2 linked regions of the Ovis aries genome follow. The protein of the gene in region 1 interacts with the protein of each later gene in a pairwise test. Links are inferred from orthologs where the notes say so. Each region holds a gene or a part of one and is shown in the gene's direction. Other genes may lie near its edges.

Region 1 (5,299 bases):
TTTCAGGTCTTTTTCCTCAGCTGTCTCTTGATTTTCTTTCTGTGCCACTTACTGTTTACCTAAAAGTTTTCTTAAAATACTGCTTAAAACATCTTAGAAATTTTATGATTCTAAATCCTTTTTAAAAGGTTTTTTGGAAATTAGACCCATCCTAGAGTTCTACTCATGGAGACTTCGTGATTTTATCAGAAGTCAGGGAAAGTTGCTCAGTTGTGTCCAACTCTTTGCGACCGCATGGACGATACAGTCCATGGAAGCCAGAATACTCTAGTGGGTAGTCATGCTCTTCTCCGGGGATCTTCCCAACCCAGGGATTGAACCCAGGTCGCCCATATTGCAGCTGGATTCTTTACCAGCTGAGCCACCAGGGAAACCCCATCCTACATTTTTAAATTTATCTTTCATCTTTTAAAAATATTGGGCAGTTTCCTGCTTTTTCCCCCCACATTATGCTTTCCTTCAGTTCTCCTCATTTTATCAGTGTTCTCCCCCCCCCCCCCCCCCCCCCGCCCCCCTGAATTCGACCTGTGTTGTGTTTTTCAAGTTTTATACTCAAATCTCATCTTCTCTTTGTAGCACTTCTAGGTCATCCTAACAGGAAAAATGCTTCCTTCCCAGAATTCCTACAGCACCCCATTCTGCACCACAAATGAAGAGTAAATTCTGTATAATGCTATATACAGTGTTTTATATATATAATCATTTGTTCTGTGGTGTTTAGATTTTACATTGTCCTTGTTGTAAGGTTTTAGGGAGAATGTGATACTGTCTTTTTGAGTTAACTGTAGCTTGGTTCGCAAATGCTGCAGTTAACTCCAATATGTAGTTACTACCTATAATGTTTATGTGTGCATAAATACCACATAAACCGGAGGGGAAATGCATGGATAACAACTTTAGCTTTTCAGATTCCCAGCACATTGCCTCTAACTCTGTCCCTTTTCCCCTAAAAGCATATCTGAATACAAGTGATTGAGACTAATGTAAGAATAACCTTCGCAGTGCTCTAGTTCATTTTTTTTAACCTATTCACAGCTACTTTTCTTAGTGACTAGATGCTGGGATACTCCATCACTTAAGATATCATTTGGTCATGACACCTAATTTGAGGATTGTTCTATATATTAAATATTGAATATTTAACAGGCGAATTTAAATGTGGGACTAAACTTTAGTAACTGATTATAAACAGAAATGTCTTCGTGTTGGGATTGCATTGTATTTAATCTTAAAAATGATAATTTGAAAATTAATTTCCCTGTTCTTGTAGGGCACTGTAAATTGGTCTGTTGATGATATTGTCAAAGGCATAAATAGCAACAATTTGGAAAGCCAGCTCCAAGCTACTCAAGCTGCTAGGTAAGTCTTGTCTTCTGTAGCATGAGTAAACTAAGAAATCAGCCTTTTTACATTTTTTGGTGGGAAAGCAATGGCAGGTGGTGCAGAGTAAAGGTTAAGCCAGGCCTAGGCCAATTTTCATTATAATCTTTCCTAATCTAAAATTTTCTGTAGTTGCCTCAAATTACATCTACCTCCAGTGATAACTTTAGTGTACTTCAGAAATGTTTTCTTGTCACTGGCATTTCAAGTCAATGTCAGGGAAAGGAGGAATTATTCAGTAACTGGGATTACCACATTGATTTAGAATGGTTCATCCATTTAGGAAATAAATATATTCTATTTATTAGACTCTTCCCACCCACCATACACAGCTATCTGTGACATCCATAATATAAGGATTGATGATCTCTGTAGCCTCACAGTGTGGGGAAAAGCAGGTCCAATTGGCAGAAGATCAGGGGAAACGTGTGTGTCCCCACCACTGGCCAGAGTAATGCGGATTAATGGACTGTGATGGTATCGTATGTCAAAGTTTTTAAAAAGTGGTAAGATCTGGAGTAGATTTCTGCAGAGAGAAGGGTTCTGCGTCATTGGTAATATTTCAGTTTTGGGAAAAGTAGTTTACGACACTACCCCACCATGCAAACAGTCTGTCTGCTCAGCTCCTCTTAAATTCCAGGATATGTCAGCATTTAGTCTTCACTGTAAAAGGTTACTTAAAGTTCTAAACTCTTGGATTAAGATGCATTTTATTTTATTTTATTTTATTTTTTTAATTTTTATTTTTACTTAATTTTACTTTACAATACTGTATTGGTTTTGCCATACATTGACATGAATCCGCCACGGACGTACATGAGTTCCCAATCCTGAACCCCCCTCCCACCTCCTACCCCATATCATCTCTCTGGATCATCCCCGTGTAAGATGCATTTTATTTATTTATTTTTTTCTACTTTTATTGGTTTTGCCATACATTGACATGAATCCACCACAGCTGTACTCATGCAAGATGCATTTTAAATTGTGTTTTTTATATGAACTTGTTTGGTCTCGAGTTGGCGTTTTAAATTGTGTTTTTGTTTTTATTTTTTTCCTCTGGTATGAACCTGTTTGGTTAATCACCTTCAACTTTTGTTTCTCTTTTTGCTTACCCATAGGAAACTGCTTTCTAGGGAAAAACAGCCCCCTATTGACAACATAATCCGGGCTGGTTTGATTCCAAAATTTGTGTCCTTCTTGGGAAGAACTGATTGTAGTCCCATTCAGTTCGAATCTGCCTGGGCCCTCACTAACATTGCTTCTGGGACTTCAGAACAGACCAAGGCTGTGGTGGACGGAGGTGCTATCCCAGCATTCATTTCTCTGTTGGCATCTCCCCATGCTCACATCAGTGAACAAGCTGTATGGGCTCTGGGAAACATTGCAGGTACTTGGATTTGAAATTGGCTGAATGTCTCCAGTCATACTGAGGTTGGCATACGTGTCTTAGTGTGTTTGTTGCGTCAAGACATTGGTGTACTCTGTAACGGAAATTAATGGCACTAGACAGGTGGTAGTGGTTGACTCAGCCGCCTTCTTTTTTTTTTAAGGTGATGGTTCCGTTTTCCGAGACCTGGTTATCAAGTATGGTGCAGTTGATCCGCTCTTGGCACTTCTGGCTGTGCCTGATATGTCGTCTCTAGCAGTAAGTTACTTAGCATAAGTCACGTTTCTCACTGATTCTCATTTTCCTACCCCCCTTAAAAAACCACTTCATTGCGTGTTTCTTTTCCCCCCAGTGTGGTTACTTACGTAATCTTACCTGGACGCTTTCAAATCTTTGCCGCAACAAGAATCCTGCACCCCCCTTAGAGGCTATTGAGCAGATTCTTCCTACTTTAGTTCGTCTCCTGCATCACGATGATCCGGAAGTATTAGCTGACACCTGCTGGGCTATTTCCTACCTTACTGATGGTCCAAATGAACGGATTGAAATGGTTGTGAAAACTGGGGTTGTACCCCAACTTGTGAAGCTTTTAGGAGCTACTGAATTGCCAATTGTGGTAAGTTGATTTTCAAATGAGAGTATAAAGTATAAGGAGCACAATTAGTTGGTACTAATATTGACATATTATATATTTTAGGCCATAATGAGCCTCTTACCTGTCAAAACTTTTAGGGTGTAGAGATTTTGAGTAGTGCTGGAATAGATAAAAGATAACTGCCAGCGTCAACTTTTTTTCCTTTCAGACTCCTGCGCTCAGAGCCATAGGAAATATTGTCACTGGGACAGATGAACAAACACAGGTTGTAATAGATGCGGGAGCACTTGCCGTGTTTCCCAGCCTGCTGACAAACTCCAAAACTAATATTCAGAAGGAAGCTACATGGACAATGTCAAACATCACAGCTGGCCGCCAGGACCAGATACAACAAGTTGTGAATCATGGATTAGTCCCATTCCTTGTTGGCCTTCTCTCAAAGGTACTGTAGCCTTAGGACTTAAATGGGCAGGCACTTGGTAGAGTTGTATTTCTTAAGATTCTTAACATACTAATGCTGGGTTCTGTTTAACAGTCCTTTGCTAAATAATAGTAGCCTTTTTACTTTAGCTTGGATAGAACCAATTGAAAGTCTTAATCACTTTCTTCTAAAACAGTAGTTTTGGAATCTTATTTTTATGACCATTCTAAAATAAACCTGTTTCTTTATGTTAATTAGGCAGACTTTAAGACACAAAAGGAAGCCGCATGGGCTGTGAACAATTATACAAGTGGCGGAACTGTTGAGCAGATCGTGTACCTTGTTCACTGCGGCATAATAGAGCCGTTGATGAACCTCCTAACTGCAAAAGATACCAAAATTGTTCTGGTTATTCTGGATGCCGTTTCAAATATCTTTCGGGTAAGGCTTAACAAGACAGCATTTGTTTGAATTTGGACTCGATAATTGGTTTACTATTTAGATGACAAGTGAGGGGCAGCTAAGTTTACTCAGTTCACCGCAGAATCAGAAAACCTGTTTCTGTGGGCCACACTCTGGATAAATGATGTGGCAGAGGATTATGAGAGAGAAAAAGGAGATGACAAATGCATGATGTGACCTGAATTGAGGCCAGGTACGTAGATGATATGCTGTTCATACACATTTATTTTGTCAAGCATTAATTCCCCTAATTTCATACTAAACTTCGGTGAAATTAAATTTGAATGACCTGGTTAATTATATTTTTCTTTTGGTTCCATTCCCAACTGATCGAAGTGTGATAACACATGGCACTTGATCATAATGTTTAATGTTTGGTAGGTCAGCATTAAAAAACAACTTTAAACTTCTGAGTATGGAAATTTTTACATATCAAAGTTGAGTTTATAGTAATGATCCCTGATGTATCACCTAGCTTAAATAATTTGTCAACATTTGCCCTCTCTTTCTCCTCACCCTTCAGTCAGTTCAGTTCAGTCGCTCAGTCGTGTCCGACTTTGCGACCCCATGAATCGCAGCACGCCAGGCCTCCCTGTCCATCACCAACTCCCGGAGTTCACTCAGACTCACGTCCATCGAGTCAGTGATGCCATCCAGCCATCTCATCCTCTGTCATCCCCTTCTCCTCCTGCCCCCAATCCCTCCCAGCATCAGAGTCTTTTCCAATGAGTCAACTCTTTGCGTGAGGTGGCCAAAGTACTGGAGTTTCAGCTTCAGCATCATTCCCTCCAAAGAAATCCCAGGGCTGATCTTCAGAATGGACTGGTTGGATCTCCTTGCAGTCCAAGGGACTCTCACCCTTACCTTTTATTCTATTTTGAAGCAAGTCAGTTATTTCATTTTTAAATATTTATGTCTCTCCTGAAAGTTGAGGACTTTAAAAACATAGCTAGCCATGATAATCATTTGTGTATATACCTAATAGATTCTTGATATCAACAAATAGTCCAGTTAGGGGTTATTACCCTTGAACAGTGGTTCTCTTGCTTGA
Region 2 (5,991 bases), on another chromosome or scaffold:
GATTCTTTACCACTGAGCCACCTGGGAAGCCCCAGTTAATAAGTAGGTCACGTCAAAGATCATGCAGTAAAACTGATTTGTGATAAAATGAATTTAAATATTAACACTTTATAAATATTTTTATTCTATGAGAACCATGATTAATAAAACATGCTAGTATTTATTTTTGTTTACTTAAGAAACACACGCATAACATGTCAATCAAGCCTCATACTATCTGGGTTCCTCTGAGTAAGAACTGTATAAAATATTTAATAGAAAAAAGTACAGTCTACCTGTTTGTCCAGGGAAAATAACAATTTCTCCTGCTAAATAAAAGCTAATGATTAATTTAACACAAATTTCAGACACTCTCTGTTTAAGGTCCTAGGACATGTAGTAGGCAAAGGGAATACAGAGAGCAATGAGAATTAAACTCTGTAATCAAAAGGATATACTATCCATGAGAGAAGAAGAGACAAATGTAAAATTAACAACAGTGCAATGAGGTCATTTTAAATAAATTGCAATGTGGCAACTGAGCTGAGGCTTTAAGCACTTGGAGATGTTTCCTCTCTGATTACTTGTTCAAACTTAACAATTCAGAAACTATAGAAAAGCACAGGCAAGTTTAAGGGGGAAAAGAAAAAGCACAAGTTCTCCCACCATGGGGGAACCACCATTAACATTTTAGTTTATTTTTTATTACATGCTTTTTGCTTTTGCTTTTTAGATTTGCTTAAAACAACATATGCATATGGCAAAAAGTTCAAATTGTAAAGAAAGGCGTACCACTGAAAAATGTAAAAGGTTCGCTCCCCAAAGATATGTCCAGATAAATTTCTAGGCCCAAGATGGAGTTGCTCCTGCTGGGGGTGTCACGTTAGCATACTTAAACTTCAAGTTCCTGTAAAAGGTCACCTTGACCAGAAACTCAGTACACCCAGTCAGTCAATCTTCTCAAACGCCATACTTTTTAGGCTGTATACTTATTTCCTTGTTCCTTAATCTTTCTAAATAAGGTCAGATACACAACCGCAGGCGATCAAACTCGATTGCCTTGCTGCTTTTAATGCTGTATTAAGCTCGTTCTTGCCCAGACTCCCTGGGGGAGTGCTCCACTGCTTGTGAGTTACCGTACTCTTCCAACCATGAATTGTTTTCACTTGAGTAAAGGACAGTACACTCGTTACTAAACTGTCTTGATTTTTGCCATTTGACAGGTAGACAGTTTCCTTGTGAATCTGAAATTAAGAATTAATTCGAAACTAATGCATAAAACTGTATTCACAAATGCATATATTCCTTAAAATGTATAGAGTATCACATTCTCTAGATAAGTGTTCTGCAATCTTGCTTTCCCCAACTACACAGAGAAATATCCTTTATTCCTATTCCTAGCACAGCTGGTCCTTATTGCATTGCGTGCTCGGCTGCTATAATATAACCAGAGGGACTGCAGTGCAGACGACGCCGGTAGGTGGGAGACAGGATCGTTTCAGGATGCGGAGAATTAAGGGACCCGATTGTGGGTTCGGGCGGGGGAGAGCTAGCCAGTTGAACCAATTTGGTTGGCATATAGGATATCAGAAAGTGAGATGATGATACTGGATGCTTGGGGCTGGTACACTGAGACGACCCAGAGGGATGGTACGGGGAGGGATGAGGGAGGGGGGTTCAGGATGGGGAACACGTGTATACCTGTGGCGGATTCATGTTGATGTATGGCAAAACCAATACAATATTGTAAAGTAATTAACCTCCAATTAAAATAAATAAATTTATATTAAAAAATAAATGAATACACTCCCTCAGCCTCACCACTTTGGGAAAAAAAAAAAAAAAGAAAGTGAGATGACTTGGGGCCAGAGGACGAATGCTGTAGTATCCCAGGCCAGTATTTTAGACTTTATTTACCTTTTGCAGTGGAGAGGTGAGTTAAGTCAGTTGTTTTGCGTGAGTTATGGGTTGTTTGAAGGGCTTGACAAGCTGAGAAATGTCCAGAAAGGAGCTCTAGGGTTGGAAAAACTGCAGGGCTGGTTTGTATTCTAGCTTTCAGTGCTCCCTCCCCAGTCAAAGAAAAAACAATTTTTTTGTTCACCCCGCGGGCTACAGCTTTTCCTTTTACCTAGGCCGGGAGCTAGGGTAGACCTTTCAGAAGTCTACCAAACAAGACCCGGCAATCTTCATCTGCCCCCCTACCCCCGCCCCCGCCCCCGCGCCGCGGGAATTCCGAGATCCGGGTGGGCCTCCTTCTAGGCGCTCTGAAGAGTAGCGATGGGATACTGAGACCGCCAATCAGGTATCTCGGATACCCGGATGTGAAGCGGTGAGCCTTACAAAGGCAAGTTTCCACCCAGAGCTTCGTCAGGGTACAGTGGCCAATAAGCATGTCTCAGAAGATAAATGACAGGAAATATGACCAGTTACAAACTAGTTTCTCCCACGCATGTGGAAATTCTCTAGATTAGTCTAAGCCACTACTGATTGTGATTGGATAGAATTGTGAAGAGCGGTAGAACTGTCTAATGAGAAGCGGGAGCGAGAAAACTCGCAGCCAATAGGAGGATTCTCAGAAGAGAGGCGGGCCTAGGCCTTCGCCTCGGCGGCAGAGGAGACTCGGGGGCCATTTTGTGAAGAGGCGAAGACTGAGCGATTGCGACCGCGTTGCCGACCTCGAGCAGCCATCGGCTTCTTCACGTAGAACCCAGGGGTAGGAGATTCAGAATCGAATCTCTTCTCCCTTCCCCCTCCTGGTAAGTGGAGGGAGCGGAAGCAGAGGAAGCGCTGGGTTCTTTGGGGAGCGCGAGGTGGAGTGGGAGAGAGGACGAGGGAACCCTCCCCTCGGTAGAGTAAGCAGGCCCCCATTTATTCTCTGGTTTGGGGGATTAGATCTTACGCGGAGAGTTTTCTAGGCCGCAGCCCTTGAGTAGATTTTTAACCCAGTGTCCTCTAGGCCACAATCGGCAGGGAAAATGCTGTTTTTCTTTTTCGCTTTCTTGTGTTAACGGCTGTCCTTTAATTTTCGGTGACCATGAGGACTCTGAGATTGTGAAACGGATGATCAAAGATGCTCATGAATGTAGTTCAAGTTAATGTAGTGCCGATGCTTCCTGTTAAATTTTAAAATTAAGTGGGGGATGGGGAAGATTTATCAAGCAGAAATTTTTTGTACCGCAAGCCTCCAAATTCTGGAGCGTACCGCAGGGTATAAATATGAAAACAATAGTTTTAATATTTTACTGATTACTTTTTAGTTTACGCCTCTCTGAACAAATGATGAACCTCGAAATATTTTCAATTTTATTTAAAAAATTGTAATCTGATTTACATATCAACAGTAATAATTAAAGCTGGGTTTTTATCTGCAGGTTACAAATCGCTTGAAATATATAAGTTAGTGGAACTTGCTTGAGGTAGGTATACTATCTTTCTTAGACAGAAACCGAGGCATGAGTGTTGCTTGCCTGGGTCATATTAATCAGCCGAACTAGTAAGGAATTTGGTCTCCAGGTTAAGGCAAGTGGCTTTACCTCCCCGTTGAAATCGTAGATGTTAAAAATAATTACAGCAAGGACTAGCGGTAACTGGAAATACCCAAACTGCTCTTGGGGAAAAGATTATGAGTATTGCGTTTATTAAAGTGACGTCCTAAGATTTTGTGAAGTTTGATTTTCGGGATATCTGGCATTAATTTTCCGGACCATCCCAAAGTTGGCAAAAATGCATAACTATATGCCTTTTGTTAAGCAGGTATTATGGTGGTTACTGTTTGCTAAGCCCTGAAAATTACTAAACAATTTTTGCCAGGTTTTTAAAAATTACATAAGTTTCAAAGTATCACATTCACTTATCCAAGAAATCGCTTTTTTTTGATCTTTGTGTAAGATTTAGGTGATTTTGTTTTTCATAATGTGTTAAACATTCACAAAAAGTAATGTTAAGTATAGTTTAAGCCCATACTGGGTAAATTTGTCCCTTAGGAACAGAAGCTAAAACTGTTACTGTAGGTAGCTATGTATCGATCCCTTAGCATATAGATTTTGTAATAGAATTAAAAGCTTTGCCTTAAAAATAAAAGCTTAAGCATTTAGATTGTCACATGGACTTTAAAAGGGCAGTAATTGGTTAATTTAGGAAATCATACGCCTAATATTGTTGGCAAATAAAGAGAAATGTAGGAAATCAGTATTTAAGAATGGTTAAATTCTTAGATGGAAATAAAATTATTTGAAGTGCACTTTTCTTGCCTTGAGGTGTTAGAAATGGGTTCCATAGGATCAGCATGTACCAAGGTAACAGTTTAATATCACTCATCTGGAATGATTTGGCCACAAAATTAATATCTGAAATAACTGTAGATTTGATTTCAAATAGATAGGCATTAGTAACATTTTCATGTTGGTTGGAGAAGAGGGATTTAAGAAGGATGGCTTAAGCTGGAGGACTCTGTGTTTCCCATGCTCATGCCTCCTGCTGTTTTCTTTGGTAGAGGATATAAACACACATTATTCCTGATTAGGTCTCTAGAGGGTTTTGCATAGTTGTGTGACCTTGTTTTGGATGGAATTGCTGTTAGAAACACGGAATAAGCTCCAAAATAGCTAATTTTTCTAATCTTAAAGATTAATTTATATTAACTGGTGGATGTGTGAGATGTCAAGTGGGAAGTGTGACAGTTGAAAGAACCCTGGTCTAGGAGTTAAGAGAACTGGATTTTTCCCCTCCTGCTGCTTATAAAATCAGTTAAACTTAATGAAATTCAGTTTTATATTTATAAGGGGTCTTAACAAGAGCCCTGGGGCTTCAGAAACTCAAGGGCAAGGCCTCCAGCCCAGCCCGCCCTGTTGTCACGGGGTGTGTGAACCCAAAGCCTCCTGTCTTGCTCATGTATACCCGTTTAGCATTCCCTCCAGAGAGGGTCCTCCTGCCCCCCAACCTAGGTAAATGCAAGATCCGCCTTTCCCACCAGGGCTGCCAAAAACTGGTCTGCTTTCCCCACCAGAATGATGTTGTTATTGCGAACCAGGGAAACAGGAAAAAAGGTAGTCTCTATCCTCACGGAGAAGGCGATGGCACCCCAGTACTCTTGCCTGGAAAATCCCATGGGCAAAGGAGCCTGGTAGGCTGCAGTCCATGGGGTCGCAGAAGAGTCAGACACGACTGAGCGACTTCACTTTCACTTTTCACTTTCATGCATTGGAGAAGGACATGGCAAACCACTCCAGTGTTCTTGCCTGGAGAATCCCAGGGACAGGGGAGCCTGGTGGGCTGCCGTCTGTGGGGTCACACAGAGTCGGACATGACTGAAGCGACTTAGACTTCTTACCTCTTAATGTCTGTTTTCTGTAATTCAAGTGATTTTTTGCCAGAAGGCTAAATAGTGTACAGAAATAGTTTCATTGTTGACAGCAGTTTTTGTATATTAGTAATTACTGTTAACTGTCTTAATAACAGTATTTCAGTCTTCAGATCATTTAATTAGTTGTCTTTGGGGAACATTATTTGCTCATACTTAATATATACTCATTCATTCTCATTGGGACCAGGGAGGCTTAAAATTTTGTACAGAATAGATTTACTAGATAGTTGATTATGGTGAAAATCAGAACTTTAAGATGTAGCATAGCTGCATGTGTTCTCTTAGACATTGGAAATCTGAGGTTTATGAAGGGAAAAGGGATTTCTGTAGGGCTTTATGGTATAGCATTTAGTGTGGTAGGTTATAATTTTCGAGTTACTATGTTTCGATCCTAATTAGGGGATAGAGATTCCTTATTAAACTCTGCACAGTGGTTCTTAAACATGAGCAGACATTAGGACCAGCAAGAGGGCTGGTTAAAACATTGCTGGGCTCTCCATCACCACTTTCTAATAAAGTCAGTCTGGGGTAGACCCTGTTCATGTGCATTTCTAGTATGTGCCACGCTATCTTGGTTGGCAGCCCTCACTTTGAGAATACCCCTGTAGAAGAAGGTATGCAAATCTAGATTTGACAAAGTATAAACTACA

Evidence for each region. The genes of interacting proteins can lie anywhere in the genome.
Region 2: the proteins of KPNA2 (region 1) and HNRNPC interact in binary tests that used the Homo sapiens proteins (3 or more experiments, as listed by UniProt). The link is inferred for Ovis aries from reciprocal best matches to the Homo sapiens genes KPNA2 and HNRNPC.

Annotation. Positions count from the first base shown.
Region 1 is NC_056064.1:48,648,726-48,654,024, reverse strand, and holds part of KPNA2 (importin subunit alpha-1), read left to right. Parts: intron 1-1,270; coding exon 1,271-1,359; intron 1,360-2,501; coding exon 2,502-2,770; intron 2,771-2,933; coding exon 2,934-3,028; intron 3,029-3,122; coding exon 3,123-3,386; intron 3,387-3,573; coding exon 3,574-3,807; intron 3,808-4,044; coding exon 4,045-4,227; intron 4,228-5,299.
Region 2 is NC_056060.1:24,219,246-24,225,236, forward strand, and holds the start of HNRNPC (heterogeneous nuclear ribonucleoproteins C1/C2), read left to right. Parts: upstream 1-2,607; 5' UTR 2,608-2,735; intron 2,736-3,350; 5' UTR 3,351-3,395; intron 3,396-5,991. UniProt on the Homo sapiens protein: Binds pre-mRNA and nucleates the assembly of 40S hnRNP particles. Interacts with poly-U tracts in the 3'-UTR or 5'-UTR of mRNA and modulates the stability and the level of translation of bound mRNA molecules. Single HNRNPC tetramers bind 230-240 nucleotides.